7 linked regions of the Ovis aries genome follow. The protein of the gene in region 1 purifies or fractionates together with the protein of each later gene. This does not show direct contact. Links are inferred from orthologs where the notes say so. Each region holds a gene or a part of one and is shown in the gene's direction. Other genes may lie near its edges.

What was found.
Region 2: the proteins of KPNA1 (region 1) and MTA2 purify together in Homo sapiens (co-immunoprecipitation; 3 studies listed by BioGRID and IntAct, with this or other methods). This does not show direct contact. The link is inferred for Ovis aries from reciprocal best matches to the Homo sapiens genes KPNA1 and MTA2.
Region 3: the proteins of KPNA1 (region 1) and PHAX purify together in Homo sapiens (co-immunoprecipitation; 4 studies listed by BioGRID and IntAct, with this or other methods). This does not show direct contact. The link is inferred for Ovis aries from reciprocal best matches to the Homo sapiens genes KPNA1 and PHAX.
Region 4: the proteins of KPNA1 (region 1) and ALKBH5 purify together in Homo sapiens (co-immunoprecipitation; 3 studies listed by BioGRID and IntAct, with this or other methods). This does not show direct contact. The link is inferred for Ovis aries from reciprocal best matches to the Homo sapiens genes KPNA1 and ALKBH5.
Region 5: the proteins of KPNA1 (region 1) and CHD3 purify together in Homo sapiens (affinity purification with mass spectrometry; 3 studies listed by BioGRID and IntAct, with this or other methods). This does not show direct contact. The link is inferred for Ovis aries from reciprocal best matches to the Homo sapiens genes KPNA1 and CHD3.
Region 6: the proteins of KPNA1 (region 1) and NOPCHAP1 purify together in Homo sapiens (co-immunoprecipitation; 3 studies listed by BioGRID and IntAct, with this or other methods). This does not show direct contact. The link is inferred for Ovis aries from reciprocal best matches to the Homo sapiens genes KPNA1 and NOPCHAP1.
Region 7: the proteins of KPNA1 (region 1) and ARID2 purify together in Homo sapiens (co-immunoprecipitation; 3 studies listed by BioGRID and IntAct, with this or other methods). This does not show direct contact. The link is inferred for Ovis aries from reciprocal best matches to the Homo sapiens genes KPNA1 and ARID2.

Annotation. Positions count from the first base shown.
Region 1 is NC_056054.1:187,730,051-187,733,925, reverse strand, and holds part of KPNA1 (importin subunit alpha-5), read left to right. Parts: intron 1-2,045; coding exon 2,046-2,177; intron 2,178-3,172; coding exon 3,173-3,261; intron 3,262-3,605; coding exon 3,606-3,705; intron 3,706-3,875. UniProt on the Homo sapiens protein: Functions in nuclear protein import as an adapter protein for nuclear receptor KPNB1. Binds specifically and directly to substrates containing either a simple or bipartite NLS motif.
Region 2 is NC_056074.1:37,480,491-37,485,035, reverse strand, and holds the start of MTA2 (metastasis-associated protein MTA2), read left to right. Parts: upstream 1-1,454; 5' UTR 1,455-1,835; coding exon 1,836-1,863; intron 1,864-1,967; exon of another isoform or gene 1,968-2,242; intron 2,243-2,595; coding exon 2,596-2,663; intron 2,664-3,039; coding exon 3,040-3,133; intron 3,134-4,545. Other genes in the region: EML3 (echinoderm microtubule-associated protein-like 3), read left to right, coding at 11-109, 403-533, 616-819. UniProt on the Homo sapiens protein: May function as a transcriptional coregulator. Acts as a component of the histone deacetylase NuRD complex which participates in the remodeling of chromatin.
Region 3 is NC_056058.1:25,008,488-25,013,095, reverse strand, and holds the start of PHAX (phosphorylated adapter RNA export protein), read left to right. Parts: upstream 1-1,475; 5' UTR 1,476-1,496; coding exon 1,497-1,592; intron 1,593-3,240; coding exon 3,241-3,854; intron 3,855-4,608. UniProt on the Homo sapiens protein: A phosphoprotein adapter involved in the XPO1-mediated U snRNA export from the nucleus.
Region 4 is NC_056064.1:34,171,381-34,175,255, reverse strand, and holds part of ALKBH5 (RNA demethylase ALKBH5), read left to right. Parts: intron 1-2,280; coding exon 2,281-2,436; intron 2,437-3,178; coding exon 3,179-3,356; 3' UTR 3,357-3,875.
Region 5 is NC_056064.1:27,388,395-27,392,269, forward strand, and holds part of CHD3 (chromodomain-helicase-DNA-binding protein 3), read left to right. Parts: intron 1-2,179; coding exon 2,180-2,292; intron 2,293-2,780; coding exon 2,781-2,951; intron 2,952-3,208; coding exon 3,209-3,333; intron 3,334-3,875.
Region 6 is NC_056056.1:174,141,247-174,145,620, forward strand, and holds the start of NOPCHAP1 (NOP protein chaperone 1), read left to right. Parts: upstream 1-1,284; 5' UTR 1,285-1,573; coding exon 1,574-1,688; intron 1,689-3,803; coding exon 3,804-3,890; intron 3,891-4,374. UniProt on the Homo sapiens protein: Client-loading PAQosome/R2TP complex cofactor that selects NOP58 to promote box C/D small nucleolar ribonucleoprotein (snoRNP) assembly. Acts as a bridge between NOP58 and the R2TP complex via RUVBL1:RUVBL2.
Region 7 is NC_056056.1:140,643,982-140,647,856, reverse strand, and holds part of ARID2 (AT-rich interactive domain-containing protein 2), read left to right. Parts: intron 1-207; coding exon 208-404; intron 405-663; coding exon 664-3,524; intron 3,525-3,875. UniProt on the Homo sapiens protein: Involved in transcriptional activation and repression of select genes by chromatin remodeling (alteration of DNA-nucleosome topology). Required for the stability of the SWI/SNF chromatin remodeling complex SWI/SNF-B (PBAF).

The DNA of each region.
Region 1 (3,875 bases):
TTTTGGAGCCCCCAAAAATAAAGTCTGACACTGTTTCCACTGTTTCCCCATCTATCTGCCATGAAGTGATGGGCCTGGATGCCATGATCTTCATTTTCTGAATTTTGAGCTTTAAGCCAACTGTTTGACTCTCCTGTTTCACTTTCATCAAGAGGCTTTTTAGTTCTTCTTCACTTTGTGCCATAAGGATAGTGTCATCTGCATATCTGAGGTTATTGGTATTTTCCCGGCAGTCTTGATTCCAGCTTGGGCTCCCTCCAGCCCAGCATTTCTCATGATGTACTCTGCATAGAAGTTAAATAAGCATGGTGACAATATACAGCCTTGACGTACTGCTTTTCCTATTTGGAACCAGTCTGTTGTGCCATGTCCAGTTCTAACTGTTGCTTCCTGACCTGCATATAGGTTTCTCAAGAGGCAGGTCAGGTGGTCTGTATTCCCATCTCTTTCAGAATTTTCCAGTGTATTGTGATCCACACAGTCAAAGGCTTTGGCATAGTCAATAAAGCAGAAATAGATGTTTTTCTGGAACTGTCTTGCGTTTTTGATGATCCAGTGGATGTTGGCAATCTGATCTCTTGTTTTTCTGCCTTTTCTAAAACCAGCTTGAACATCTGGAAGTTCATGGTTCAAGAATTGCTGAAGCCTGGCTTGCAGAATTTTGAGCATTACTTTACTAGCATGTAAGATTATAGTAAGGAGTTATCATGCAAAAAGTCCCTTTAACTGTGGTGCTCCTAGTCTGGCCTCCCTGCTTCTTTAATATCAGTGTCCCAACTGGTTTTCAGACCACTTTATTTCACTTCTGTATTTCACATTTATAGGTTTTTTTGAATATCCCCTTCTTTAAGTGAATTTACTGTCATTCATTCATTTATCTTTGGACTGTGCTAATCAGATTGCCTTCCCGTTTCTTTCATTTTCCCATACCCCAAGTGATTGATTTATTTTTCTGTATGACAGCTACCTTTCAGTAGACCCAAAAGCTTAAGAATCACAGCTCCATTTTTTGATGATTTTTAAATTGAGATTCTCATTGAAGTGGCATATCTCTAAATTTTTTTGCCACCACATATATACTTCATTAAAGAATATTAAATAGGAGACAGAACAGGAGAAGGAAATAAAGCTGAATTTTAATTAAGAACTCTAAATAGGATTTTAAGAGTTTATTTTTGGATTTCATCTTTTTGGGCTAAAGAGTCAAGGTACCATAGAGATGTGTACGATTAATAATGTGCTGTATTTTTTGTTGGCCATAATCCTTCATAATTTCCTTCTCTTTACCAGTTTATTAACCTTTAGGAATGCTCTTTTTAAAAAAGTCTTACCTCTGTGCCTTGGTTTGAAGGCTGCTCATTTATTGGAATCTGTTATACTCTAAAGCTGCCATTTCTGTTAGTTGTATGCCTGTTAACTCCTTTTGGTCTACTTAATCATTTAAATTGTCTTCCACCTTTTTCACTCTGCCTCTGTTTTATACATTTTACACTAATATTCTTTCTCCACTTCACTTTTCCTATTTTATAGAAATTATTTAATTTTTTTATTAGATAATAAACATGGTTTAACGCCAAAAGGTATATAAAGGTTTTACTCTAATAAGTGTTTATCCTTCCTGTACTTATTTCTGATTCACCTAGATCTCTCTATGTAAGTAGAAAATATTTACAGTTTATTATGATTCCTTCAAGAGATATCCTATGCAATAAGTAAATTAATGCATATACTCTTTCTTAACCCTTTTGAAAAATACAGTATGGTACCAAACACTCCCTCATTCTTCTTGTGGTCTCATGTCAGTCAGCTCTACTTGGATCTGAAATTTTAGACACCCAATCAGTATTCTTGATGAAGGTTATTTCTTTGGGAATTCTATTAAATTAGTATAGTATTTACCTGATAGATTATATTCAAATAATGATCTCACATTCTTTCTTCATGCATAGAAAAGTGTTGTTGTTTTTTTTAAGAAAACCTTATTGTTGTAAGTAAACAACCTATTAAATTCTACTAAGATAATGAAATTATTTTTATCTTTATAGTTTGAATCAGCTTGGGTACTGACAAATATTGCTTCAGGAAATTCTCTTCAGACCCGGATTGTGATTCAGGCAGGAGCTGTGCCTATCTTCATAGAGTTGCTCAGCTCAGAGTTTGAAGATGTCCAGGAACAGGTAAAAGATGAAACAAGTAAAGAGAAGCAGGTTAAAGAATACAGTTTTTCCTGAGTCTTATATTCAGGAGTCTTAGTGTTACCACTTGGATATGACAGTCCATGGTTCTCACATGGAGTGTTCCAGAAATCTAAATGTAATCTAAATAGGAAGTTTCATATTGAATATAGGCAGAATTTCTCCTAGAAACATAAAACCGTTTTTCCATTCCAACCCTGAAATTCTTGAAGTCTCATACATATACATCTTAGACCATGTAAGCACTTACTGAGTTTTTTTTGTATGTGTGTAATACTGTTTAGTGTTGATTGAAGTAGCAAGTCTTTGTTACTTTTGTGCAGAAAATCACTTAGAAAAAAATGCATTTTTCATTATTGCAAACTTTGTCAAACTCATAAATACAAATTGTTACTAAATGAGTACGATTTTATTCTACAATTTTATTAAGGTATAATCAAGCTACAGTTAACTGCATATGGTTAAAGTGTATAATTTGTAAGTTCTAACATATGTGTGTACCCATGAAAGATTACAGTCAAGATTGCTAGTATATCCACTTCCCAAAATTGAGTCAAGTTTTCTGCGTTTTTATTGCTCTTAATTTCTTGGCTCACTGTTTTCTTTTGTAAGCAAGCTTAAAATACATTTTAAATCAGCTGAGTAAACCATTTGGATCTCTGATATGTTCCAAGGGCTGCACAGAATGTTACTTAAGGATAAGACCCCCTAAGGTAAAGAATATATAAGAACTGGTACCTCTTTTTAATGACTTCACTACCATAAGTATATTCACATGCATACTGTTAATATTACTGATCTTCTACCAGTCACATAACAGTTTCATTTGACTCCCTGATGAGTGAGCTTAAAGGTATTAGTAGTTAATGTCCATGTACAATATGTTGATTAGCTACTGTGTTATTGGCATCTTTTTTGAAAGAACTATGAGAAAATTAAACTCTACAGCCTGTCATTAATGAATAATTCTTTCACAGGCAGTCTGGGCTCTTGGCAACATTGCTGGAGATAGTACCATGTGCAGGGACTATGTCTTAGACTGCAATATTCTTCCCCCTCTTCTGCAGTAAGTTTCTTTCTGTTTTGTGAGTAATAAAAATATGGGACGTTCCTCAGAAACAAATGCATCTTTGGAAATCATTTTGGATTTCCTAGTGTTGCTTTTCATTACAAATATTTTCTTATTAACTTGTTCAGCTCATTTCCTTGGGCACTGTCTTATTCAGGTGTGTAAAAAGAAGTGCCAAAATTCTGAATTCTTTGTGTTAGAATTAAACTTTATTGTTCTGGAGAAGAGCTATTTGAAGACATCTGTCTATCAGTAGCATTAAGTGGTTAAATATTTATCTTATGCCATCAGAGAATTGATGCCCATTATATCATTTACCAATTGCATCATTATACTTATAGGTTATTTTCAAAGCAGAACCGCCTGACTATGACCCGGAATGCAGTATGGGCTTTGTCTAATCTCTGTAGAGGGAAAAGTCCACCTCCAGAATTTGCAAAGGTAAGGATTATGCTTGTGGGAAATTGGCAGAAAAAGTACAGTTAAAAGAGTGTAGCAACCAATGTTAATGTGAATAGAAAGAGAATGATTTTTGATAAACGAAAATGTTAGAATTTTGTTTCTAGAAAACTAGGTATACCAAGGAATGCTCAAACTACCGCACAGTTGCA
Region 2 (4,545 bases), on another chromosome or scaffold:
CTCTCCCCAGGGGATGTGGCTGGAGGCTGTAAGCTGCTGAGGAATCGCTATGAGAGCCGAGACCGGGAGTGGGCCACCTACACCTGCGTGCTGGGCTTCCATGTCTACGGTGAGAAGGGGCACAGGGCCGTGGAAACCTGCGTGAGTGTGGGGGGACAAGGTGCAGCCAGCCTGGGGCTCGGAATGCTGGACATGTGTAGGGGGTGGACGTCAAGAAACTGGCAGATCCAGCCCAAGAGCCGCCCCCCTCCCCCACCTCCGCCACTGGCCCTCGGGACTGGGAAGGATTGCCAGGAACGTGGTGGGTGGGTGGCCGGGCTGCCTGAGCTAGGGGGGAAATGGTGCAGCTCTGGACCGCGGGTGGGGGCGGGGAGGTCGGGCTGAGGCCGGCTGCTGTGACAGGCGTGTGGCCAGATGGCTCGGATGGAACTGACATCAACTCCCTGTGCCGCTCCCACAACGAGCGCGTCGTGGCCGTTGCCGACGACTTCTGCAAAGTGCACCTCTTCCAGTACCCGTGCGCGCACGCCAAGGTGAGGCCTCCCGGGGCCTCCGGGGTGGGGCGGGCGGCCGGAGCTCCTCGGCCGCTGCAGCTCCATCTTCTCTCCTGCCCAGGCGCCGAGCCTCGTGTACGGTGGTCACGGCAGCCACGTGACCAGCGTCCGGTTCACGCACGACGACTCGCACCTCATCTCGCTGGGCGGCAAGGACGCCAGCATCTTCCAGTGGCGAGTGTTGGGCGCTGGGGGCACGGGGCCGGTGCCCACCACGCCCTCTCGAACCCCCTCCCTGTCCCCTGCCTCCTCTCTTGACGTCTGACCCCTGCCGGACTGGACCCACCGGCCCTGCAGTGTGGCCCTGCCCCCACCCACCCAAATTCCCCAGGACCGAGGTGACCCTGTCCTCGACTTCGAGACATTCCCAAAAGTGCATTTCCTTGGAGGGGGCGAACGGCACCCCTGCACACACTGTATAGACCCGCTGGCTGAGCCGGGCAGCCCCAGCCTGGGCCCTGACTCCCGCTGCCTGCTGAGGGGCAATAAACCAAAAGCAAAGTCGCCTCCCGGTCCTTTTGTGGGGCGCGGCTGGGCGCCTCGGGGCTTTATGGGGGCGGGGAGGAAGGCAAAGGGGAATGCGGAAAAGGTGAGGGAGGGTGGACTTTTTATGCAAATAACAGGCGAAGCCTCTTGCAAATAACTGCGAGGCTCAAAGGCCCTTCGAGTTTTTCGCGGCCGCTGGTGGAGCTGCAAGACTCCGGCTAGCAGAGAGTTAAGCCCAACTCCTCTCCCCGCCCTCGGAGGCGGGGCCGAGCCGCAACGGAAATAGCCGAGTGCCGGGCCGCGGTTGGCCGGAGGGAGCCGAACTTCTTCCGGAAGTAGCCGAGCTTTGCGGGCTTGCTCTCCGACCGGAGCCGAGTGCTGGGCCTTGTTCTCCGGATCCGCCGAAGGTGTTCCGGAAGGAGGCGAACCCCGAGGCGGGCCGGCAAGTCTTCGCGGCGGCCCTCAGAGTCCAACGTCTGGTGGGACTCGGCGAGGGCGGAGGTAGTTGCAGCCTGCCTCCGGTCCGGCGGGATCCGAGCTCGTTCCGGAAGAAGCCGAGCGGACCGGCGCCGGTCTCGGCGTCCCGGGCGTGAGGCTATAGAGGCGGCGGCGACAGCGCGGGCCGGGATGAGCCGCGACGGCTGAGGCTGCGGAGGCGCCGGCTGCGCGGGCCCGACTGAGACTTCTGCGAAGCGCCGGCCCCGCGCTCAGGGCTTCGCTTCGAGTCCTGCCCTCGGGAGCCTTCCGGACCCCTTTGTGCGGCCGGAGGCGGCGGCGGCGGCGGCGGGAACGGCCATGGCGGCCAACATGTACCGAGTGGGGGGTGAGTACCGGGTGTTAGGGGCTTCGGGACTCGGGGCGGGAGAGGCTCGGCTCCCAGCGGCGCGGGGACCCGCGTCTGGGGCGGCGTGGTCCAGAGCGCGGACCGGAACCGGAACCGGGAGCATGGGGAGCGAGGGCGCGGGGATCGCGACGCGCCCGGGCTCCGAGACTCCCGGGGAGGCTGCGGGCGGCCCGACGGCACTCTCAGGGCAGCGTCTGGGCCGCCGGGGTCGTGGAGTGGGCTTGCGAAAGTGGTTCCAAAGGGGCTGACAGGGCAGGCAGGGGGCGCGAAGGGCCGGCGCAACTGCTTGGCCACCAACGGGGGAGCGGCCGGGAGGTTTCCTTTTCCCAGGCGTTATTGTGCGCCTCGGTTCACAAAGGTGGGGGCCCTGTACAGGGATGAGCAATTGCTCTCCTGAACGAGACCGGGATGCAACTCCATCGCTGAGTTGTGGGGACTGCTGAGCAGGGGAACCCCCTGCTTCTCTTGTCTCCTCCTTAAGGCTCACTTTTGAGCGGAGGATCTGATTTAATAACTGGGTGATTAGGGGGTGGAACGTCCGTCCATTATTTTCTGCTAGTCTGTACACTTCCACATTTCTGCGTCCTCTCTACCTAGACCCTTATCTCCTTTTGGTCTACTCAGGCCTCCTTTCGCTCCTCCCACTCTGGTGCTGGACTCTCCCATCTACTCCTCTGATCTTCCCGGTTCTTCCCCCACCCCCTCCTACAGATTACGTCTATTTTGAGAACTCCTCCAGCAATCCTTACCTGGTTAGAAGGATTGAAGAGCTCAACAAGGTGAGTAGAGCAGAGGCCCGCCACTCCCCCCCTACCCAGCAACCTCCGTCTTCTTTTTTCAGAGATCTGTAACTTCAGGTGAATGAGAGACAAGCGATAACAGAAACCCTGTCCTAAGTACCCATGCATATTCATTCATTCATTTCTTCCACGCTTTCAGGAAAGGCTATTAAGAGTTTAGTGGGAACTTTACTGTTCTGTTTTTTGGGGGGCTGAGGAAAGGGATTTGGAAGTCTGTCCTTAAATGTGAATCTCTTGATTCATAATTTGAGTTTTTCTTACATCCTTTAGAAACTTGTTCACTGATGTTAGTCTCTTCTTTATGCATTTCCACTTTCAAATGATTAGTTTTCACCACCGTTTTTTCTCTCCTTAGACTGCAAATGGAAACGTGGAGGCAAAGGTTGTGTGCCTTTTCCGGCGAAGGGACATTTCGAGTAGCCTCAACAGCCTGGCTGATAGTAATGCCAGTGAGTGTCTTTGTCCCCACCCCCGGTTTCCCTGTCTCCCCCTGCCCATGATCTGAAGCCTGGGCATGTCCCTGCAGGTGTTCTCTTGTAGCATGCCCAAGGCAGGGGTGTGAGTTTGGGGGTGGGAAGTGCCTGGTCTGCAGAGGGAGGCCTGTTTTTACATGTTGGGTTAGAAGCAAGGTGGAGAGGCCATGATAAGGAAAGCCAGAATTTGGCTTGTGTGTGAGTGTGTATTTTTGAATCTGCCTTTGTGAATGGTGTATGTTAAAGAGATGATAGTATGTAAATCGGGGATGAGGAAGCACTTTAGAGAAGCAGATCTCTAGGGGGACAGTTTCGGTTGTGTTGGGATGATAGGTGGTGACTGCGAAGGTCAGGTGAAGAGAAGAGACTGGACTGAGAAGCCTGCATAATAGGAAGGCAGGTTTTTGGTGTGATCATGAGGTGGTAAGACTACACTGATGGGAGAAAATAGGAAGCCAGGAACATTTTCTTGCGCTTTTTCTCTATTCTCACATAGCCTAGGACTCACCTAGCCCTGGACTCCATTTTACATCTTTCCCTTTTCTTTTCAGCCTATCCTGCTTCTCTTGATGCTTTCATCTTTTTAGATACACAGCTTTCTGTTTTCTTATAGTTTCTTTTTCCTTTCCTGCTTTGGCTTTCTTTCCCCTTTCTCTTGTTCTTCCTTTCTAAATTATTTTCCTTATTTTGGGCTTCTTTGAGCATTGGGCGTGAAGGGGTTAAGGAGGACCTGGGCCGACCAAGTTCTCTGGCTCTCTGGGGTTTCCAACCCTGTCTGGCAGGGGCTGACCTTGGTCTTGTCCAATCGGAAAGGCTGTGGGGGGTGTGGTCCCCCTTGCCTTAGCACAGGGTTTCCGGAGCACACAGGCAAGGGGTGGAGCCTACTGCACACCCCTGCCCCCCCCTTCTCCTTGAGGTTGGGAACAATGCACCAATGAGCCTGGGCCTGTGGCTCTTCTGCCCCCTCCCTGTTTGGTTGGCACCCAACCAAGTTAACCCTTTCCACTAAGGTTTCAGGGCAAGTTGCAGCTCCTTGGGGAATAAGGTGTTGGCACTGGCTTGAGAGGTACTGTCCTTGAGAGCCCCCAAAACAAACTATTATTAGCAAGTAGAAAACAAGAGAGTAAGGGTTGCATGTGATGTTTAAGAGCAGAGTCTCCTGAAATTTGCAGAACTGGTAAACACAATTTTGTTTGATGCTTTTATTTATTTATTTATCGTCACTGAATTTCTGGACCCCAGGTTAGTTTAGCAAGAAAGAGACAAGTGCAATATTCTTGCTGGGCCTGGTGTGGGCAGATTTGTGCCATATGAGTGGTATCTGAGCATTGGCACCTGGGTTTGCCATGTGTTTCTGTGGCAGCCTTTGTACTCTCAGCGTGTGTATG
Region 3 (4,608 bases), on another chromosome or scaffold:
ACTACTAAGTCACTTTAGTCGTGTCCGACTCTGTGCAACCCCAGAGATGGCAGCCCACCAGGCTCCCCTGTCCCTGGGATTCTCCAGGCAAGAACACTGGAGTGGGGTGCCATTTCCTTCTCCAGGAGTCAGGACAGATGTCTGCAATAGCTTAGCTATGTAATCTCCCTTCAGTTACCAAAATAAAATGGGCCCAAGTGACTTCTAAGTTCCTTTATAGGTACTAAATTCATATTTCAAAAATATAAATTCATTTTTTCCCATACAGTCTATACTAAGGAAATAATAAAACAAGTCTGTAAAAAGACATGTTCACTGCAAAACTGGCTACACTTTAAATGTACACTATCAGAAACTAAATAAATGATGCTACCTCCATGCAGTGGAAAAACTGGGAAGTCATTAAAAAGGAGCTAGATCTTTATATTTTGGTCTAGAAAAGCATCCTGGATAAACAGCTATATTGTTTCTTTTTGAAAGGAGATTACAGAATAGTAAAAAAGTACAAACAATAAGATCCCCTTTATGCCGAAATGGCAACCCACTCCAGTATTCTTGCCTGGAAAATCCCATGGTGGAGGATCCTGGTAGGCTAAAATCCATGGTGTTGCAAAGAGTCGGACACGAGTGAGCGACTTCACTTCACTTTTGCCGAAAAAAATTCAATTAATATTTCTTCACCATGTTTACATACAAGAAATCACTGGACTGGGCACCGGCAGAAAAAAATGAATAAAATAGACATTTTGGTGGGGAATTCAGACAAAAAAATTAAACACATAGGCATATGACTATTGAAGCCATGAAGGAATAAAAAGGGTGCGAGAGTGACTGTAAAGAAAGGACCCTGTTTTAGTGAGAGTGCTTGAAGAAGACCTTTGTGGGAAGGGCACATTTAATCAGAATTCTGAATCATGTGAGAGCATAATCTCCGGAAGAACGGGGTGTGGGGTACTGGAGGGTCTGCAGGCCGAGGGAACAGTAACTGCAGCGCCCTTGGGCCGGGAAAGGACCAAGGGTGCCTGAGGAACAACGTGAGAGGCGCCAGCGTGGCTGGAGAGCAGGAGAGGGGACCCCAGCCTGAAGCACACACCTCCAGCTCTGTCAGCTGTGCTGAGGTCTGAGCCGGGCGGAGACTTCACGTTCCGTCTGGAAGGCTCCCCAGGAAGCTCCTTGCAGTGGATCACACAGGAGCAAGACTAGATGCAGAAAGGCCGGCCTGGAGCATCCAGGCGAGGACTGTGAGACCGAGGGAGGAATCCCTCACGGCTGCCATGCGTGCACATCTTTAGGTTTGAAGAGAGCAGGTCAGAAGCGAAGGCGCCAGGGTGTTGAGGCAGCACAAGGGAGCAGTTTGCAATGATGACGCAACATCAGCGAGTCTCGACTCAGGCGGCCCGGGCGAGAGAGGCCCCCTCGCGGGGGCGCCCGAGCACCCACCGCCCGCCGCCCCGCCGGAAGTGCCCTCCCGGCCCGCCGCGCCGCGCCGGGGGAAGATGGCGCAGGAGGCCGGCGACATGGACGATGGGCAGGTTTCCGACTCGGATTCCGACATGACGGTGGCACCCAGCGACAGGCCGCTGCCGGTGCCGGTGAGTGCGGAGGGCAGGCGGGTGACTCGGGGCCGGGAGCGCGGGGCCCAGGCGTCCTCCTGTCGGGCGCGCGGAGCCCGGCAGGCGGCGGGGAGACGGCGGGCCCTACGAACCTGGCCTGGCATTTAGCTGCGAGGCGGGGTGCGCGAGGCGTGCGGCTTCCCGGAGGCGGGCGTGCGGTCGTCTTTCCCGCCTCCCGTGCTCCTCTCCTTGTTTTCTAAACCTACGGAATTCCCCACTGGGCGTCGCTGGGTTCTCCCCGAAGGGCAAATTCTCCCGAACATGTAGAACGTGGGGACGTCGGCCCACCACCAGCCTGTGGCGCTCATTTGCGCCCCGAGGAGAAAGGGAGTGAGGATCGAGAATGAAGTTCATCTCTTGCTCAGGGGCCTGTTCTTCCATATTCCCATGGAACCTAGCTTCGTCGTGCCCTAATGTGCCGCTGGGTTTTATGTTAGCTTCCCAGGTTTCTAAACAGGCGTTTATCTTGGCCGCCCTACTAAGTAGCAAGCTGTTTTGAGAAGGCTTTAGTGCCGGGCTGCCCGCGTTGGAATTCCAGAGCCGCCACTGTGTGTTCGGTGACAAGGTATTCAGCCTGTGCCCCATCTTTAGAGTGGGAATAATAGTACCACAGTGATAGGTGGCTGTAAGGATTCGGTGGAGCCTAAATGGTGGCTGACAAGTGCTAGTGCCGTTATTGTTTCCAGATACGGAGACTGCTAGATTTAAAATACCCCTCCCCAATTTCTAGCACGGATTAGGAGCTCAACAAATACTTTGATGTTTAGTTGAAAAAGCAAAGGTGATTCCTTTTGCATAGAAGCATCTTGGGAAATCGGTACCAAGATATTTTGTTCTTCAATCTTTTTCAATTTTCCTTAGATTGACTCCTGACTTAGTAAACGTAATGCCATGGACTCTGCGGTTTTACAAGTAATTTGTCAGGGATGCTTACACATAGGACTTCACTCTCTAGTCTAAAAGGAACATAGTCCCAAAACCTTATAAAGGTAGTTGATATATCCACATACATGACAGGCACCTTTGGAAAAGAGGAAAACAAGTTCTAACTGCCTGTAACAATTGTTCAACATGTGATTTTCAAACGTTCTGACAACTGAAAAGATTGAAAATCTTCTGAAAGTGAGAATTAAGAGCTTTGATAATTTTCTGGAAAGCTGTTTTAGCACTAAGTGCTGCATTAGCTATATAGAAATAAGAATTTGTGGCTTTAAAAATGGAAATTCCAGGGAGTTCCCTGGTGGTCTAGTGGTTAATATTGGCCACATCGACCTTGGGGGCTCAGATTCAATTCCTGGTTAGGGAGTAATCTTTGGAAGATCTCTGAAACCAGTTCAGTCCCTTACATGGATTTCTCTCTCTCTCTCTCTCTCCCCTTTTTTTTTTTTTGGCTGCTTGCAGGATACCCGAGTGACACAGGCTAACACTCACAGGGATCCTCAAGTGGCCAAAAAGGAAGTTCCATGTAAACCTTTAGAAATTCAGGCACCGAATTGGTTTCAGAGATCTTCAAAGATCACTGCTGCTTTAAAATGGTTCAGCTGAATCCCTAATTTTTTTTTAAATAGCACAGGGTGTGTGGGTAATGTCTTTTGTGGAGTTGATTGTGATTTTCCTTCACTTGCAGAAAGCGCTAGGTGGGGACTGTGCACTGCGGCCCTTCCAGAGTACTGCAACAGTGTGTGCCCCGGCATCCCATTATCGGACTGTTAAAAGTGTGGATTCAAGTGAAGAGAGCTTTTCAGATTCAGATGATGATAGCTCTGTCTGGAAACGCAAGCGACAGAAATGTTTTAACACCCCTCCCAAACCAGAGCCTTTTCAGTTTGACCAGAGCAGCCAGAAACCACCTATAGCTGGAAGGAAGAAGGTGAACAACATATGGAGTGCTGTGCTGCAAGAACAGAACCAAGACGCAGTGGCCACTGAACTTGGTATCTTGGGAATGGAGGGCACTATTGACAGAAGCCGACAGTCTGAGACCTACAATTATTTACTTGCTAAGAAACTTAAAAGAGAATCTCAAGAACATACAAAAGAATTAGACAAAGAGCTAGAAGAATATATGCATGGTGGCAAAAAAATGGGACCAAAGGAGGAGGAAAATGGGCAAGGTCATCCCAAAAGGAAACGACCTGTCAAAGAGAGAGTAGGAGACAGACTAGAAATGAACTATAAAGGCCGCTATGAGATCACAGAGGATGATTCTCAGGAGAGGGTGGCTGATGAAATTTCTTTCAGGTGAGCATTTAAATATTTCTACAAGTGGACACTTGACCAATTGTCTTCCATTTATAAGATATACCATAGATCCCAAATACATTGATGGTGGTGTTCCTTTCTGAGATTTTTAAATCCAAGGCAAGAACTGGGCTTATGTGGTTATATGAATATGAATATGGTTGGCTGTTCTTAAATTTGGGCAGACCTGATAGAATAATTTTGTAGATTTTTGTGAACTTTGAGCCTCTCTTTCTATTGAGGGCTATAGAACTCCTCAGATAAAAAGATCCTTTTAAATCATGTGGGTTTCTTGGAGTGTTTTTTTTGTTTTTACAACTTTATTGAGGCTTATTATACATGTAATAAAATTTGTCCTCTTTAAGTTTGACCTTTTTTTGGTAAATTTATCGATTGTACAACCATAAAGCACTTTTAAAACATTTCCATCACCCAGTAAGATCCCTCATGCCATATGCCCATTTAAAGTTAGTTCCTATTCCCATTCCCAGGTAACTAATCATTCTATTGCTGTCAATTTGCATTTTTTGGAAATTTCATGTTAATAGAATCGCAATATGTAGTCTTTTGTGCCTGACTGTTTTCACATAGTGCAGTGTTTTTGAAATTCGTCCATGTTACAGCAGTCATTAACAGCTTATATATTTACACACACATTTGTATTGGCTATTACACTTTTTGGCGATTATGAATAATTCTGTTATGAGCTTCCATGTACACATCTTTGGACACATATTTTCATTTATTTTGGATA
Region 4 (3,875 bases), on another chromosome or scaffold:
TTAATGTTTGGCCATGTTCCGTTGGTTCTGGCTTCCCCCGTACCTACACCCAATCTATGCTTTGTCTCGGGAACTCTCCTGACATACCTGGGGTGTCCTGCTGTGACCCCTGGACGTTGACTCAGATCTATAAGGAGGGTCTTTGTTTCTGCTACCACTGGAGGAGGCCCAGGCCTCACTGCTAGAACTGGACTTTCTGCTTCCAAGCTTGTGGCTCTGTGCACTGAATCCTGGCCTGTGCCCTTTAAGAGGGGTGGGTTCTGAAGGTACACTGCTGGTGGGCTCTGGGCTGGGGGTCTGGCTCTAGCCTGGCTTCTTGCAGCTTGGTGGGTGTTGGAAGTAGAGCTCCTCCATCGGTTGTGAGATGTACTTGTCATAACCTCTAGGGAGTGTCAGGAGCCTTCAGGGCCCCAATCTCATAGATCCCCAGAGTGGGTCGGGAGACTGGCTCCTGGTAGAGCCACCTCTGATCACCCCCTCCCTGTGGGCTGATGTGACAGTGGTGGAGTGCGGGTGTGGGAAGCTGCCCTTTGCTCTTCTCCTTCTTTCAGGCAGCTAGAGAGAGACCTGGCCCGTGGCCCTGATTGGTGTCCACTCTCAGCTGGTCCCACCTGTCTCCCCACAGCCCCAGTGGTCGTGGGCCCACGGTGAGGGCCCCCCCACTGTTCAGGCCGGCCGTGGTAGTCCCAGCAGCTCAGGAAGGGTGGGGCCCACAGGCTCAGTGACTGCCAGCCCTGCCTGCGTGGTGGGGTGTGCCTTCTAGCCCCAGAGGTGTGGGCCAGACTCTCCCCTGGCCATCCGCGCTCACCTGACAAAACTACCTGGCGGTCCTGGGCCCTCAGTTCTGCCCACACGGGCTTTCCTGCCCGGGGGTGTGCTCCCAGCGCCACTTCTTCCCCGTGCCCCTGGCCTTGAAGGAGGAAGCTTGTCTTGGGTCTCTGGACCCTGAGAACTGAGAGAAGCCTTTGCTCAGAAGGGGAGGGATGTGACTAGCTTGACTCTGAGGGTAGCCTCAGGGCTGCATCTTCCTCTTGTTACCAGATCCTGTCGCCCGGGGTCCCCAGAGGGGAGGCTGAGACTGGTGGGCCAGTCGGTGCAGCCAGGTTCTTCTGGCTTCTCCATATGAGAGACCAAAGCAAAGGGACAGGGACACTGGCCCTGCCTGCCTGTCCACCAGTTTGGGTCTGATGACATCAGAATACTGGTTCCCTGCTGCAGAGGCATCCCCTGCTGACCTCTAGAGAGTTACCCCAGCCCAGGTTTGGAGCCCTGTGGCTCCTGCTTGCCAGGCCTGGAGTCACACCTAGACTAGTGCTCTCTCTCAAGACTTCTGGGACACATGACCTCCCTCCTCACTGACCCAGTTTTCTTGTCTGTTGTGAGGACTGGATGCAGTTGTTCCCAAGAACCCAAGGCAGCTCTCATGTTTCCCTCTGCTCTCTTCCCCCAGTGTTCTCGGGAGGCTGTCCTTTGAGCCCTGCCTGGCCACAGCACCTTCTTCAGGACCCAGTTGTCCTTTGTGCCCAGCAGCCCATGGCAAAGGTGCCTTCAGGGCCTCCTGCCAGCTGCGCCCCCAGCTTCTCTCGCCACCTGACTTGCTGGCTGTCTCTGATCACGCAAAAGACCTCGGGCTTCTCGGAGGCTTCCCACACCAGCTTCCCCCGGCCTGACATCATAAAGGACTTGGATCGCTGCCCTGGGCTGCCCCCCACCCACCTTCTCCATCCTTTCTTCCTGCGTCCTTGACTAGGCACTGTGTTCCAGTGCTCGGTGGGGGCTTTGCCTTCAGAAGCCCTCTGGCCTTTGGTTGGTCGGTGTTCAGGAACCAGCAAAGGCTACCAGGTAGCTGTGGTGGGACCAGAGCCATGTGTGAATGTGGAGCTGGGCCTAGGCCTCCTTGGGCTCTGCCTCTGTTCACTTCCAGCCCTTCCACACGCTGGACCTGGGGACCTGCCTGTTGGGTCTCCAGGCAGGGGTGGGCATGTCTGGGAGTGTGGGACCCCAGTCCTCTGGCAGGTGCAGCACACGTCCCTGGAGGGTCTCTAGGCTTGAGAGGGGTGAGGTGGGGCCGCCCCATCTGGCTGAGAGAGCCCTGGGGTCCTTTTCCCTGGGGCAGCAGGGTCTTTGCAAGTCAGCTGGACCAGTCCCTAGTTGACCCACGAGGAGACGGGAGCATAGAACAGAGAGTGCTGGCCTCACCTAGCCTGGCCAGAGTTGGTCTGATGGGGCCATGTCCTCCCCAGAGCCCTGCGGGTGACCCCACATGCGTTTCCTTTGCAGGACGAGATTAGATGCACCCCGATTGGAAACCAAGTCCCTGAGCAGCTCCGTGCTGCCACCCAGCTATGCCTCAGATCGTCTGTCGGGAAACAACAGGGACCCTGCTCTGAAACCCAAGCGGTCCCACCGCAAGGCAGACCCCGATGCTGCCCACAGGTACTCAGCTGTGGTCCCTCAGTGCAGGCCAGCAGAGCGGTGCCACTACCTGACTGCAGAGTGAGATGGGTGGGTGGTCTGGGGTAGGTGGTTTGGAGCCTGCCATCGCCCACTTTTTCAGAGCCTTCTGTCTGCTTTGCTGCAGTTGGTGGTGTTCCCAGCTAAGCCCTGACTACCTTCCTGTGGGGATGCTGCAGGCCTCCCCTTGTTCAGGACACGCTAAGGTGCTCCTGTGGGTTCTGTGGGAGTTGGAGGGGAAGTGAGGGACTTGGAAGTTTGCGGAGCAGGGTTTCCTCCCAGTAGGGTTCTGAGGAAGCTGTTTACACCAAGACTGGAGGATGGGATGGTATGTAGGAAGGGCAGTACGGTCAGAAGGTGCCATGTAGGCTGAAACCCCAAGCCAGGAAGAGCTTGGTAGTTCCTCGGGTAGTGGGGCTGGTGAGCAGAGAGGGAGAGTGGGCATTGAGGAGGACTGAGAAGCCAGGGAGGCAGCAGGACCAGGCAGGGTCTCAAGGCTGCGATGGGAAGGCCACCTTGTGTCCGACAACCTTGGTAGTGTCCTGGGGTACAGAGTCAGAGCCCAGCAGACCCACGGGTGACTGGGGCGTATCTCAGAAACTGGGTTTGGGGCACTGGCATCTCGTGGGGCCAGGGCACGGGGCAGTGCTTCTGCCAGTGCCGCCCCACAGGGAACCAGCCAGCGGGGGTGGCTGGGTAATGCCTCCCTGATGCCTCCCCACAGGCCTCGCATTCTGGAGATGGACAAGGAGGAGAACCGGCGGTCTGTGCTGTTGCCCGCACACCGGCGGGCGGGCCGCTTCAGCTCCGAGAACTACCGGCGCAAGTCCTACGAGCCCGGGGAGGACTGCTCGGAGGCGGCGGGCAGCCCCGCCCGCAAGGTGAAGATGCGGCGGCACTAAGGCAGCGCCTCCGGACTCGCGTGATCCTCACTAGCTGCCCCTCCTTTTGTTCTGTTTTGAGGGTCCCCCCCCCTTTTTTTTTTTATTCTATTTTTTTCCCCTTGGTTTGTTGCCTGTTAAGGCTGAAGAACGGGATTGGCCAGGACCTGGTTCTCTTGTTCTGGGTTTCCTCCTGGATGGAAAGGCTGTTGGCATCTGTAGGCACAGAAGCGCACACTGGAGGGGCCAGTAGAGGCGTGGAGGGCTGTGTCAGGCTGGGTTATTTAAAAACAGCGAAATGTTTTGGTTAAGAAAATTCTTGTTTTGCTTTAAATGTAAATCTTCTCAGTGTTGTAAATGAAGTTCTGTCTCCTCCCTCTCCTCCCACCTATGTCTGCACTGGGGTGAGGTCCTGCTGGCTTTGCAGGGGGCCTGCTGCCTTCCTACCGCTCACCTGCTCTCCAGGCCCAGCAGCTCAAGTGGATACCCCTCCTGCCGCTGTTGGGGAGATGACAAGCAGAAGCCTGGATGGTGTCAGCC
Region 5 (3,875 bases), on another chromosome or scaffold:
TTCTTTGCAAAAGGTCTGAAAATACAAACCCACCCCCTGCATGCAATACGCATGTGCAGCAGACCTATTATGGTGGTTCGTTGTGGGGGAGGGAGGGGAATTTGAGAAAAAATAAATATATGTGTGAGAGATTGATGGTGAGATTAGAAGAAGAGAGGGGCGGGAGGCGAGGCTCTCGGCGAGGCCCCTCCCTCTCTCCGGTTCGCCAGGCCCCGCCCGGCCCCCTCGCCGCGCTCCTCCCTCGCCGTCTTCCGAGATCTGAGCCGGGATGTGGGAGAGTCTGGGCGCGCGGCCAGCATTGAGTGGCTGGTGAGGCAGAGGTTGGGACTTAGATTTGCTTTCCTGCCCTCCCTCTCCTTTCCTAGCCGTCTACTTTGCGTCCCCGCACTACCGCCGTCTTCCCAAGTTGGGGAACCTCCCGCTGGGGTGGAGAGTGGAGTTAACTGGCTGCGAGGTCCCAGGGCTGGTGTCCCCCCACCACCCCACCCCCAGCTGGCGGAGACCGAGGCCATTTCCCTGATCCTCAGCCAGTTGGCCTGCCCTTGCTACTGCCCCGGCAGCCTCCGTTTCCATGTTCGTATTAGCGGAGTCCCTGGGGTGAGAGAGCGCTGGCTGCGGGGCACGGCGTCTTACTGACTTCCTATTACGGTACCCACTCTGTTTTCACACCCCGGGCTGCCTGCAGGCACTTCCCCCCCCCCCCCCCCCCCGCGCCACAGCCCCCCAATTTTAGAGTGCCGTCCCGCGCGAGAGGGCACAGGATGCCGGAGCTGTGAGAAGTAGCACTGAAGGAAGGAGGCGCCGCGATTCTGAGGCGCTGGAAACCCGAGGCCTCCGGTGTAAATTGTGGCTAATTTTCCCTTGGCTGTTGTGGGGAGAAGGATTGTGTGTCCTAGAGCAAGGGGCTGGGCCGGCCCAGGCTTTTCCCTCCAGCGCTGCTGCCTCTACCTGAGCAGGACAGGTCTGGCTGGTTAGTCTAGTGCTTGCTGGGGGAGGGAGGCCTCACACCGGGGCCTCACTTCTGTGTGGCATCGGCTGTGTCTTCCTCCTGAAGTAGTTATTCTCTGAACCCTAAGCCTCCACAGTGTGGCAGGGGTCATGGAGAATGGGGAGAGGGGGACATCTGGGAAGAACCAGCCCCAGATTGTCTGACAGGGACATCTGGAGAGAAAGCCAGGGACCTAGCCCTGCTAAAAGCATGTACAAATTGTCCTCTGGGTTTGTGCTCATGAGTATGTGATGCTTGTGCATTTGAGAATGCATTTGAGGGGTGTGTCTATGCCTGTCCAGTGTCTTTGTGTGGGTCTCCCATACTGCTTAGATATGAATGGGTTAGAATGCTTGAGACTACATTTGGAGGCAAGGGGTGAGACCAGGGACAACGGGTAGGGCGCCTGAGTTCTCAAAGGGAACAGGGATGTGGATGTAGATTTGAAGGCACAATTGAGGCTGCTTGGGAGGAGGAGGAAGAATGTATAGGTAATTGTGGAGACCTTCTCCTGTGGGGCTAGGGAGTGACAAAGGAGCCAGACACCAAGATCCTGTGGGCCAGAAGTGAACATGGCTGACTGAGGGTTTCTTTTCCTCCAGGGCTATGCTGGGGTGACAGGAGTCTGGGTGATTATCTGAGGAAGTGTAAATAGAGGCCTCACTCCTCACAGAAAGGATGTCAGGGCCCCAGGGTGTTAGTGTGAGAGCCCAGGTGTCCACCTTTGGCTCTGCCTTCTCAGCATCTGGCTTAGGGAGCTGCCAGCTTGTGTCTCCCCACTCCAAGTGCTGGGGTCAGGCCAGGCCAGCAGCTGGGCATGGCTTCCCCAGTTCCTGGGCAGGATGCCAGCTGGCTAAGTGAGGGGGAAGGCAGGAGGAGCCCTGGCGGCGACTAAAAGGACCTGCCACAGTCAGAGCCCATGGCCTAGAGCCTGGTCCCTTGTTAGTAGGAGGGGAGAGACAGGAGTGGTTTGGCTGCTCTCCTCTTCTGACCCCTGACCTCCCATTCACAACCCAGGCATCCCAGAGTACTCGAAACACTCTCTGTTTGCGTCCAGCAAAGGGAGGCAAGGTTTGGAAGAGTTAATGCTGGATTTCCTAGAGAGCAGGAACCAAGGAGGTGAGGGAGGAAAAGGGCTGCAGAGGCTGGGAGCCTAGAGGCTTAGGTTTTCCGGTGCTGTCTGCTCCAAAGATAAGGATGACATTCGACTGCTGCCTTCAACATTGGGCGTGAAGAAGAGGAAGCGAGGACCTAAGAAACAGAAGGAGAACAAGCCAGGAAAGCCCCGGAAACGCAAGAAGCTTGTAAGTGTTACGCATGCCTGTCTCTACAGTGAGGCTTGGAGACCCATCCCAGAGACCTATGATTTCTCTGGGCCTGATTGCCATGGGGACCCTGAAGTCAGGGAGACCTGACTCCCTCTGCCTGCCCCTAGCCCCACTCCTGCTAGCCTGTATCTCCCAGGTCTGGGACCCTAACCTTACTCACTACATCCTAGTGAAGAGCCCTTTTGTCGACTTTACTTGCCCTGCAACACAGAGAAGCTGTTGGAAGCACTGCAGGTAGACTGCATGAATTCACAGCCCAGCAGTCCTCTATCTTCTTGGGCAGCTTACTTAGCTCTCCGTGCCTCAGTTTCCTCTACAAAAAAAAAAAAATGGATAAAAATAGATTAGTTGCTGTCTCATAGGATTGTTGTGAAGTTTAAAAGAGACGATGATATTTTGTGCTAAGAGGAGTTCCTGGCACACGCTAGGGCTCAAAAAATAGTGTTTTTATTTCTCTTCCTTAGGACAGCGAGGAGGAATTTGGCTCTGAGCGAGATGAGTACCGGGAGAAGTCAGAGAGTGGAGGCAGTGAATATGGAACCGGACCAGGTCGGAAACGGAGACGGAAGCACCGAGAAAAAAAGGAGAAGAAGACAAAGCGGCGGAAAAAAGGGGAGGGAGAGGGGGGGCAAAAGGTGAGTAGATTTGGGGAGTGAGGGAAGAAATCTGTATCAATGACAAGCCTGAAGAGTAGGGGAGGGAGAGCCCTGGGCAAGCAGGGTGACAAATGGAGAGGCTGTGGTTTATGAGGAGTGGGATTGGGCTGGGAATGGAACAGAAAACTGGAAGCCCAGAGAAGCTGGTGAGTGGGCAGGGAGGCATGTCAGGGGGTGGGGGGAGCCCAGGACTGGAGTTAGGAGAGCACCTGGCTAACAGAAGCCTGGTATCCTAGCAAGTGGAACAGAAGTCATCAGCAACCCTACTTCTGACCTGGGGCCTGGAGGACGTGGAACATGTGTTCTCCGAGGAAGATTACCACACACTCACCAACTACAAAGCCTTCAGCCAATTCATGAGGTACGGTAGGGCTGGGGAACCCTCACTAGCCGATGCTTTTAATTTGAGGGAGGCCCTGGACCTCTCTGGAATCTGATGAAAGCTAAAAAATGGCTGTCCAGAGAAATTCACAGCACAGACACACCTAACTCCCATGTAATATCAGAGAATTCCTGGATTCCAGGATCCAAGCACTCTAGTCAGGAACTTTTCACTGGGGATCAGAGTTCCACGGCTAGGTTAGAAAACTCTGGTGACCGATGGCCCTCTCTGCTCTTAACAGTTCCAGTTTACCCTGCCTGACTTTTCATCAGACTGGAGTGGAGAGGTGGCATCAGTGTTTCCCAGTTTCCTTTGCTCGGTTATCGAGTCTTCTGCCCTTCCCTTAGACAGCAGTAGTAGTGCAGGCTGAGAGTGGCACCTGCAAGTCAATAGCTTCTAAAGTAGAGGAGAGAACAATAGAGATGCCTTTGGGGGAAGCAGGCACTTTAGCAGAGCCCTTCAGCCCTCTGGAGACAGCCTGCTAAAATTCAGGTCCTGGTGCTTCTTGGGCAGCTCACTTT
Region 6 (4,374 bases), on another chromosome or scaffold:
AAATACTACCAAAACTTAAGTTGCATTTCTCCAATTATTTTCTGAATCATATTTTCTAGGAAATTCCTCAAGGAGAGTTTGGGAGCAATATTTCCTGAGTTCTTGTATGTTCATAATGGTCTATGTCTCTAAAATATTATCATATATCTGATAAGAAAAGATAAATAACTCCTACAATTCAACACCAACAAAGCAACCTAACACAGGCAGTGGATGTGAATACACATCTCTGCAAAGTAGATACACAAATGGCCAATGAATAGGTGAAAACATGCTCAATATCACTAATTGTTCAGTTCAGTTCAGTCGCTCAGTCATGTCTGACTCTTTGCGACCCCATGAATCGCAGCACGCCAGGCTTCCCTGTCCATCACCAACTCCTGGAGTTTACCCAGACTCAAATCCATCGAGTCAGTGATGCCATTCAGCCATCTCATCCTTGGTCGTCCCCTTCTCCTCCTGCCCCCAATCCCTCCCAGCATCAGAGACTTTTCCAATGAGTCAACTCTTCACATGAGGTGGCCAAAGTACTGGAGCTTCAGCTTTAGCATCAATCCTTCCAAAGAAATCCCAGGGCTGATCTCCTTCAGAATGGACTGGCTGGATCTCCTTGCAGTCCAAGGGACTCTCAAGAGTCTTCTCCAACACCACAGTTCAAAAGCATCAAGAGAAATGCAAATCTAAACTACAGTGAGTTATCACCTCACACCAACTAGAAAGAAAGAAAGAAAGAAAGTGAAGTCGCTTAGTCGTTTCCGACTCTTTGAGACCCCATGGAGTGTAGCCTACTAGCTCCTCTGTCCAAGGGATTTTTCCAGGCAAGAACACTGGAATGGGTTGCCACTTCCTTCTCCAGGGGATCTTCCCAACCCAGGGATTGAACCCAGGGCTCTCGCATTGCAGGCAGATGCTTTACCATCTGAGCCACGAGGGAAGAATCCAACTAGGATGGACAGCCACTATTTAAAAAAAAAAGAAAGAAAGAAAAAGCAAATAAACATTGACGAGGATGTGGAGAAATTGGAGTCTTTATGGCACCCCACTCCAGTACTCTTGCCTGGAGTATATGGGTTTTTTTTTTAATTTAAGATTTCTCTTTGATGTGGATCATTTATAAAGTATTTATTGAAATTATTTTTAATATTGCTTCTGTTTTATATTTTTGTTTTTGTGGCTGGGAGACATGTGGGATCTTAGCTCCCAGACCGGGAATCCAACCTATACCCCCTGAACTGAAAGTCCAAGTCTTAACCACTGGACAGTCAAAGTGTGTTCTACGTCACAGAGGTTTGAAGGGGAGGGCAGCCCCCATGGTGCGCTCTTCACTTTTAAATCCAGCCTTGCTAACTCTTTGATCCAATCACAGATCTCTAGAGTCTCCACCTACCCTTTCTCCGGATAGGAATGGCCTCCTCACTCCGCTAGGTGCCGCCCTCGCCGCGGCCCTCCCTCGCCCTGCCCCTCGCCCCGCTCCTACGAGTTTCCTCCAATCGCAGTCCTGGCCCCGCCTCCTACCCCAGCCTTTTTCCTGCATCCGGGCTTGAAGAGGCCGCTGTGAAGGCCAGCGAGCAGCATGGAGGTTCGCGGCGAATCCCAGTCCGGCCCAAGCTGTTCGTCGTCCTCCCGGGATGGCTCCGGGGTCTCGGTCTCCAAGGAGTTGCTGATGGCAGGGAGCGGCGGCCGCGGAGGTGACGGACGGGTGGGCGGCAGCGGCGTGGGGCGCGCACGTGCAGCTGGGGGCGGCGCTGCTGGAGCCGCGGGTCAGGGGCTACCTGCGTAGCCCCTGCACCGCCGAGGGACCCGGACATGCCCCCGGCTGCGGGGTTGGGGGACTGGCCGGCCTAGGTGTGGGCATCCGGCCTCGAGCCCGAGGGTGGTTTGTGTTTTCATGTTTTAGGCACAGTGCTGAGTGCCCAGTGCTGAGCGCCGCAGCACGACCTCCCCTCGCCCCCCTCCCCCTCCCAAGGGGACGACCTTAGAGTCAGGTCTGGGTTCCAGCAGTTGGCTTAAGGGGAGCAGGTGAGTATTATGGATTGAGCACCCTCTCTCTGCAGATGTTCACAGAGCCTCCCTTAGTGCGCTCCCTTAGTGAGCTGCTCTGGTAGAGGGAGACGCGTCCAGGAAACCCTCGTAGGTTTTTAGACATCATAATAGAGAGCTAAAAAAAACAAACAAACTAGGGTTCGAATCCCAACCCCACGAGTAATTAGCTGTCGAACTCTTTTTGGAGGGGGCCGGTGTTGGATAATAAAGTTCATTCGAGTGGGAGACGCTGTTAGAACAGATGGCTGGCTCAAGGAAGAGCCAACCAGCTGTGGAACCTTTTTGTGGCCAATGTCCGACGCTTTGCGACCCCATGGACTGCAGCACTCCAGGCTTCCCTGTCCTTCACTATCTCCCTGAGTTTCCTGAAACTCATGTCCGTTGAGTGGATGATGCTATCCAACCATCTCATCCTCTGTCGCCCTCTTCTCCTCCTGCCCTCAGTCTTTCCCAGCATCAGAGTCGGGCTCTTCACATCAGGTGGCCAAAATATTGGAGCTTCAACTTCAACGTCAGTCCTTCCAATGAATATTTCAGTGTTGAGTTCCTTTAGGATTGACTGGTTTGATCTCCTTGCAGTCCAAGGGACTCTCAAGAATCTTCAGCACCATAGTAGGAGAGTTGTTTACATCCCCAGTGCTTCAGTTTTTACATTTGGAAAATGGAAGTAGTATTACCTATAATGTTTGTTTGTTTGTTTGTTTTCTGAGAAGAAGAATGAGTGTAATGTTGTGGGCATATCCTCATTAAATGTTAACTTGAAAAAAGATTCTGTGAGAATGGAGAGCATTCGAAGACAGTATAATAATAGCTGAAGCTTCTTAGTGCCTACTCTGCCCCAGGAATTAATTCGCTAAATTTAATCCTCACAACCTCCCTGTGTGGAGTTGGTTCTGTTAGGGCAGTTGTATAGAAGAGGAACCTGAGACCTGGTGTATCACACAGATAAGTAACTTGTTGGAGATCATGTGGGTGGAAAGTGGCAAAACTGGGATTTGAATCCAATCAGTGTGGCCCCAGAGTCCATGCTCTTTTCACTAATCCAGTTATTAGGTATAAGCTATTGATAGTACGCTAGGAGTGTTGAGCTGCTGCTTTGAGGGTGAACAGGATTTTTATACCAGAGTGAAGAGATTTTCCAGGTGTGGGAACCAGGGTGCATAAAGCCTTGGGTTTTGAAAGTTAAGTCCTGTTCTCTGTGCTCTGATGGGCTGGAGAGTTGGGTTGATTTGAGGAGCTGTGAAAAGGCTAAAGGGGTTCTCTTTAAAGGGCTGTTTTGTCTACATCAGACATCTTGACTGAAAGGGAACTTACCAGGCAGAGATGTTTTATAAATGAAGAAATTAATACTCAAAAAGTGTAGGTGATTTGCCCAGTATAATGCAACTGGTAAACCATTTCTGGCTTTACTTAACCCTTATGTACTCTGTACTGCTTCCTGCATTCTGTCAGTGCCGACCTACATTTGTTGCTGGTAGATTTCTGGCCCAGAAAGGTGCAGTTTAGTGGGCATTTATTACCTGACATTGGTGAGGCAGAGATGTAAGAGACAGGTTTAAAGGGGGGAGATCTGCAGAAAGAACTAAAATGTTGTAATGAAACTTGGAGTGCTCTTTTTTTTTTTTTTTTTTTTTTTAATGTGTTAGAAAGTGAGGAAGGAACAGTCAAGACTTGAGGATGGAGGGTGGTCTCAGAAAGTCTGCTCTTGGGCTCCTGTTTCTTTGTGCCTTAATAAAGGAAGTGTGTGTGTGTGTTTTCAGGTATATGGGACAGGTTGCTCATCGACTCCAAGCCTAATTCCAGAAAGAATTCTGCTCTTCAAACAGTTCGGATAGAGAGGAGTCCCTGTAAGTACCCTTCCCTCTCTTCTCTTTCTCTCTCTCAAGAACCCTCTCTGATGTGAAATTCTGCCTAATTAATCACTTATTTGTTGGGACAGTGTCTGCTTTTGTTGTCAGAGTCCATTCTAGCAAGTCTTACTTGGAAATTACATCGTGAATTCAGTGCACAGGGATAAAATTTCTTGCATTATTCCCCTGCAGTAAGAGGGCGGGGCTTAAACCATGCAGGAGACTGGTTTGATTCCTTGGTTGGGAATCTCATGGACAGAAGAGCCTGGCAGGCTACAGTCCTTGGGGTCACACTTAAGAGGGTAACCTTGCCCAGAAAAACTTGTGGGATGAATTTTTGGAATTCAAAATCAATTATTGTTAAACTCCATGGGAAATTTTTCCAGAGGTTACTGAGTCCCAAATTTCACACACAGATGTGGGAAAACACCACCAGATTTGATTAAATTGGACACAGTAAGTTAAATGGTAAATGTTACTC
Region 7 (3,875 bases), on another chromosome or scaffold:
AATAATAATGATTTTTGAAATTGGAGAATTGATCTTTTAATTAATATTTAATTCCTTGTTTCCCCTCCTTGTAGAATATATGATTCATACTGGTTCATATATTAGTAGCAGTGAATATACTGTTGCTGTTTGTGTAAACATTGTTAGAATTCAGTGTTTTTTGTTAATGTGCTAGTTATTAAAATTGAATGTGTGTGTACTTTACAGAACAGTCTTTCCAAATCATACAGTGAAGAGAGTGGAGGATTCCAGTAACAATGGGCAGGCGCATATTCATGTAGTAGGAGTAAAACGTAGGGCTATCCCACTTCCCATTCAGATGTACTATCAGCAGCAACCTGTTTCTACTCCTGTTGTTCGTGTTGATTCTGTACCTGATGTATCTCCAAGTCCTTCACCCGCAGGTATTAATTTTTATTGTGATTAAATATTATCAATTTAATAAGAAGGCTAAATGAAAACATGTATTATATACATTTAAGATGTATGACTTGTCCTTGTTTTTCAGTAACATTTTATTTCTTATTCTATTTTATCATATTCATATAATGCAGAGTTGTTAATTTCTTAAAACTGTTTTCTCTTGAAATTAAGTAAAATAATTTCTACATGCTGCTTTTCAGTCATTTCACTGTGAATTTTAACTTTTCCTTATATTTTCAGGAATCCCTCATGGACCACAAACTGTAGGAAACCATTTTCAGAGGACTCCTGTTACCAACCAATCTTCAAGTTTGACTGCAACACAAATGTCTTTTCCAGTACAAGGTGTTCATACTGTGGCACAGACTGTTTCAAGAATTCCACCAAATCCTTCAGTTCATACCCACCAGCAGCAAAATGCTCCGGTGACCGTCATTCAAAATAAAGCTCCAATTCCTTGTGAAGTTGTTAAGGCTACAGTAATCCAGAACTCTATACCCCAGACAGCAGTTCCTGTTAGTATTGCTGTGGGAGGAGGAGCTGCACAGAGTTCTGTGGTTCAGAATCATAGTACAGGGCCACAGCCTGTTACAGTTGTAAATTCCCAGACACTGCTTCACCATCCATCAGTAATTCCACAGCAGTCTCCATTACACACAGTGGTACCGGGGCAGATACCTTCTGGCACTCCTGTTACAGTGATTCAGCAAGCTGTCCCACAGAGTCATATATTTGGCAGAGTTCAGAACATACCAGCATGTACTTCTACAGTTTCACAGGGTCAACAGTTAATCACCACATCACCCCAACCTGTACAAACTTCATCTCAGCAGACATCAGCTGGTAGCCAGCCACAGGACACTGTTATCATAGCACCCCCACAGTATGTAACGACTTCTACATCCAATATTGTCTCAGCAACTTCAGTACAGAATTTTCAGGTAGCTACAGGACAAATGGTTACCATTGCTGGTGTCCCAAGTCCGCAACCCTCAAGGGTAGGGTTTCAAAACATTGCACCAAAACCTCTCCCTTCTCAGCAAGTTTCATCAACAGTGGTACAACAGCCTATTCAACAGCCACAGCAGCCACCCCAACAAAGTGTAGTGATTGTAAGCCAGCCAGCTCAACAAGGTCAAACTTATGCACCAGCCATTCACCAAATTGTTCTTGCTAATCCAGCAGCTCTTCCAGCTGGCCAGGCAGTTCAGCTAACTGGACAACCAAGCATTACTCCATCTTCCTCACCATCACCTGTCCCAGCTACTACTAACCAGGTCCCTACTGCCATGTCATCTTCTTCCACCCCTCAACCGCAGGGACCACCTCCTACTGTCAGTCAAATGCTGTCTGTGAAAAGGCAGCAACAGCAGCAGCATTCACCAGCACCTCCACAACAGGTACAAGTACAAGTTCAGCAGCCACAACAAGTACAGATGCAAGTTCAACCACAGCAAACGAATGCAGGAGTTGGTCAGCCTGCTTCTGGTGAGTCGAGTCTGATAAAACAGTTGCTGCTTCCAAAGCGTGGTCCTTCAACTCCCGGTGGTAAGCTTATTCTCCCAGCTCCACAGATTCCTCCCCCAAATAATGCAAGAGCTCCTAGTCCTCAGGTGGTGTACCAGGTGGCCAATAACCAAGCAGCAGGTTTTGGAGTGCAAGGGCAAACTCCAGCTCAGCAGCTATTGGTTGGGCAGCAAAATGTTCAGTTGGTCCAAAGTGCAATGCCACCCACTGGGGGAGTGCAAACCGTGCCCATCTCGAACTTACAAATATTGCCAGGCCCGCTGATTTCAAATAGCCCAGCAACCATTTTCCAAGGGACTTCTGGCAACCAGGTAACCATAACGGTTGTGCCAAATACAAGTTTTGCAACTGCAACTGTGAGTCAGGGAAATACAACTCAGCTCATTGCTCCAGCAGGAATTACCATGAGCGGGACCCAGGCAGGAGTTGGACTTCAGGTGCAAACGCTTCCAGCCACTCAAGCATCTCCAGCTGGACAATCATCTTGTACCACTGCTACTCCCCCATTCAAAGGTGATAAAATAATTTGCCAAAAGGAGGAGGAAGCAAAAGAAGCAACAGGTTTACATGTTCATGAACGTAAAATTGAAGTCATGGAGAACCCGTCCTGCAGACGAGGAACCACAAACACCAGCAATGGGGATACAAAGGAAAATGAAATGCAGGTGGGAAGTCTTTTAAATGGGAGAAAATACAGTGACTCAAGTCTACCTCCTTCAAACTCAGGGAAAATTCAAAGTGAGGCTAATCAGTGCTCACTAATCAGTAATGGGCCATCGTTAGAGTTAGGTGAGAATGGAGCATCTGGAAAACAGAACTCAGAACAAATGGACATGCAGGATATTAAAAGTGATTTGAAAAAACCTCTAGTTAATGGAATCTGTGATTTTGATAAAGGAGATGGTTCTCATTTAAGCAAAAACATTCCAAATCACAAAACTTCCAATCATGTAGGAAATGGTGAGATATCTCCAATGGAACCACAAGGGACTTTAGATGCCACTCAGCAAGATACTGCCAAAGGTGATCAACTAGAAAGAACTTCTAATGGACCTATATTAACTTTGGGTGTTTCACCATCTGTGAGCAGTATACAGGAGGCCTCAAATGTGGCAACACAGCAGTTTAGTGGTACTGATTTGCCTAATGGACCTCTAGCTTCAAGTTTGAATTCAGATGTGCCTCAGCAACGCCCAAGTGTAGTTGTCTCACCACATTCTGCAACCTCTGTTATACAGGGGCATCAAATCATAGCCGTTCCCCACTCAGGATCAAGAGTGTCCCATTCTCCTGCCCTGTTGTCTGACGTTCGGTCTACAAATGGCACAGCAGAATGCAAAACTGTAAAGAGGCCAGCAGAGGATAATGATAGGGAAACAGTCACAGGAATTCCAAATAAAGTGGGAGTTAGAATTGTTACAATCAGTGACCCCAACAATGCTGGCTGCAGTGCAACGATGGTTGCGGTGCCAGCAGGAGCAGATCCAAGCACTGTAGCTAAAGTAGCAATAGAAAGTGCTGTTCAGCAGAAGCAGCAGCATCCACCAACATACGTACAGAATGTGGTCCCACAGGTGAGTCATTTTCCTGTCACATTTCTCTTGAAAAATCCTGATGCGTAATTATGATTTTAGGGGGAAATGCACTGTTCTTCCATGTTTTACCTTGAAAAGGTAATTGGGAGGACCTTTTCCAGGGATGAGGGAGCCCGGTGGGCTGCCGTCTATGGGGTCGCACAGAGTCGGACACGACTGAAGCGACTTAGCAGCAGCAGCAGCAGCAGCAGCAATGTACTCAGGAGAAGGCAATGGCACCCCACTCCAGTACTCTTGCCTGGAAAATCCCATGGATGGAGGAGCCTGAAAGGCTGCAGTCCATGGGGTCACTAAGAGTCGGACATGACTAAGCAACTTCACTTTCCTGCA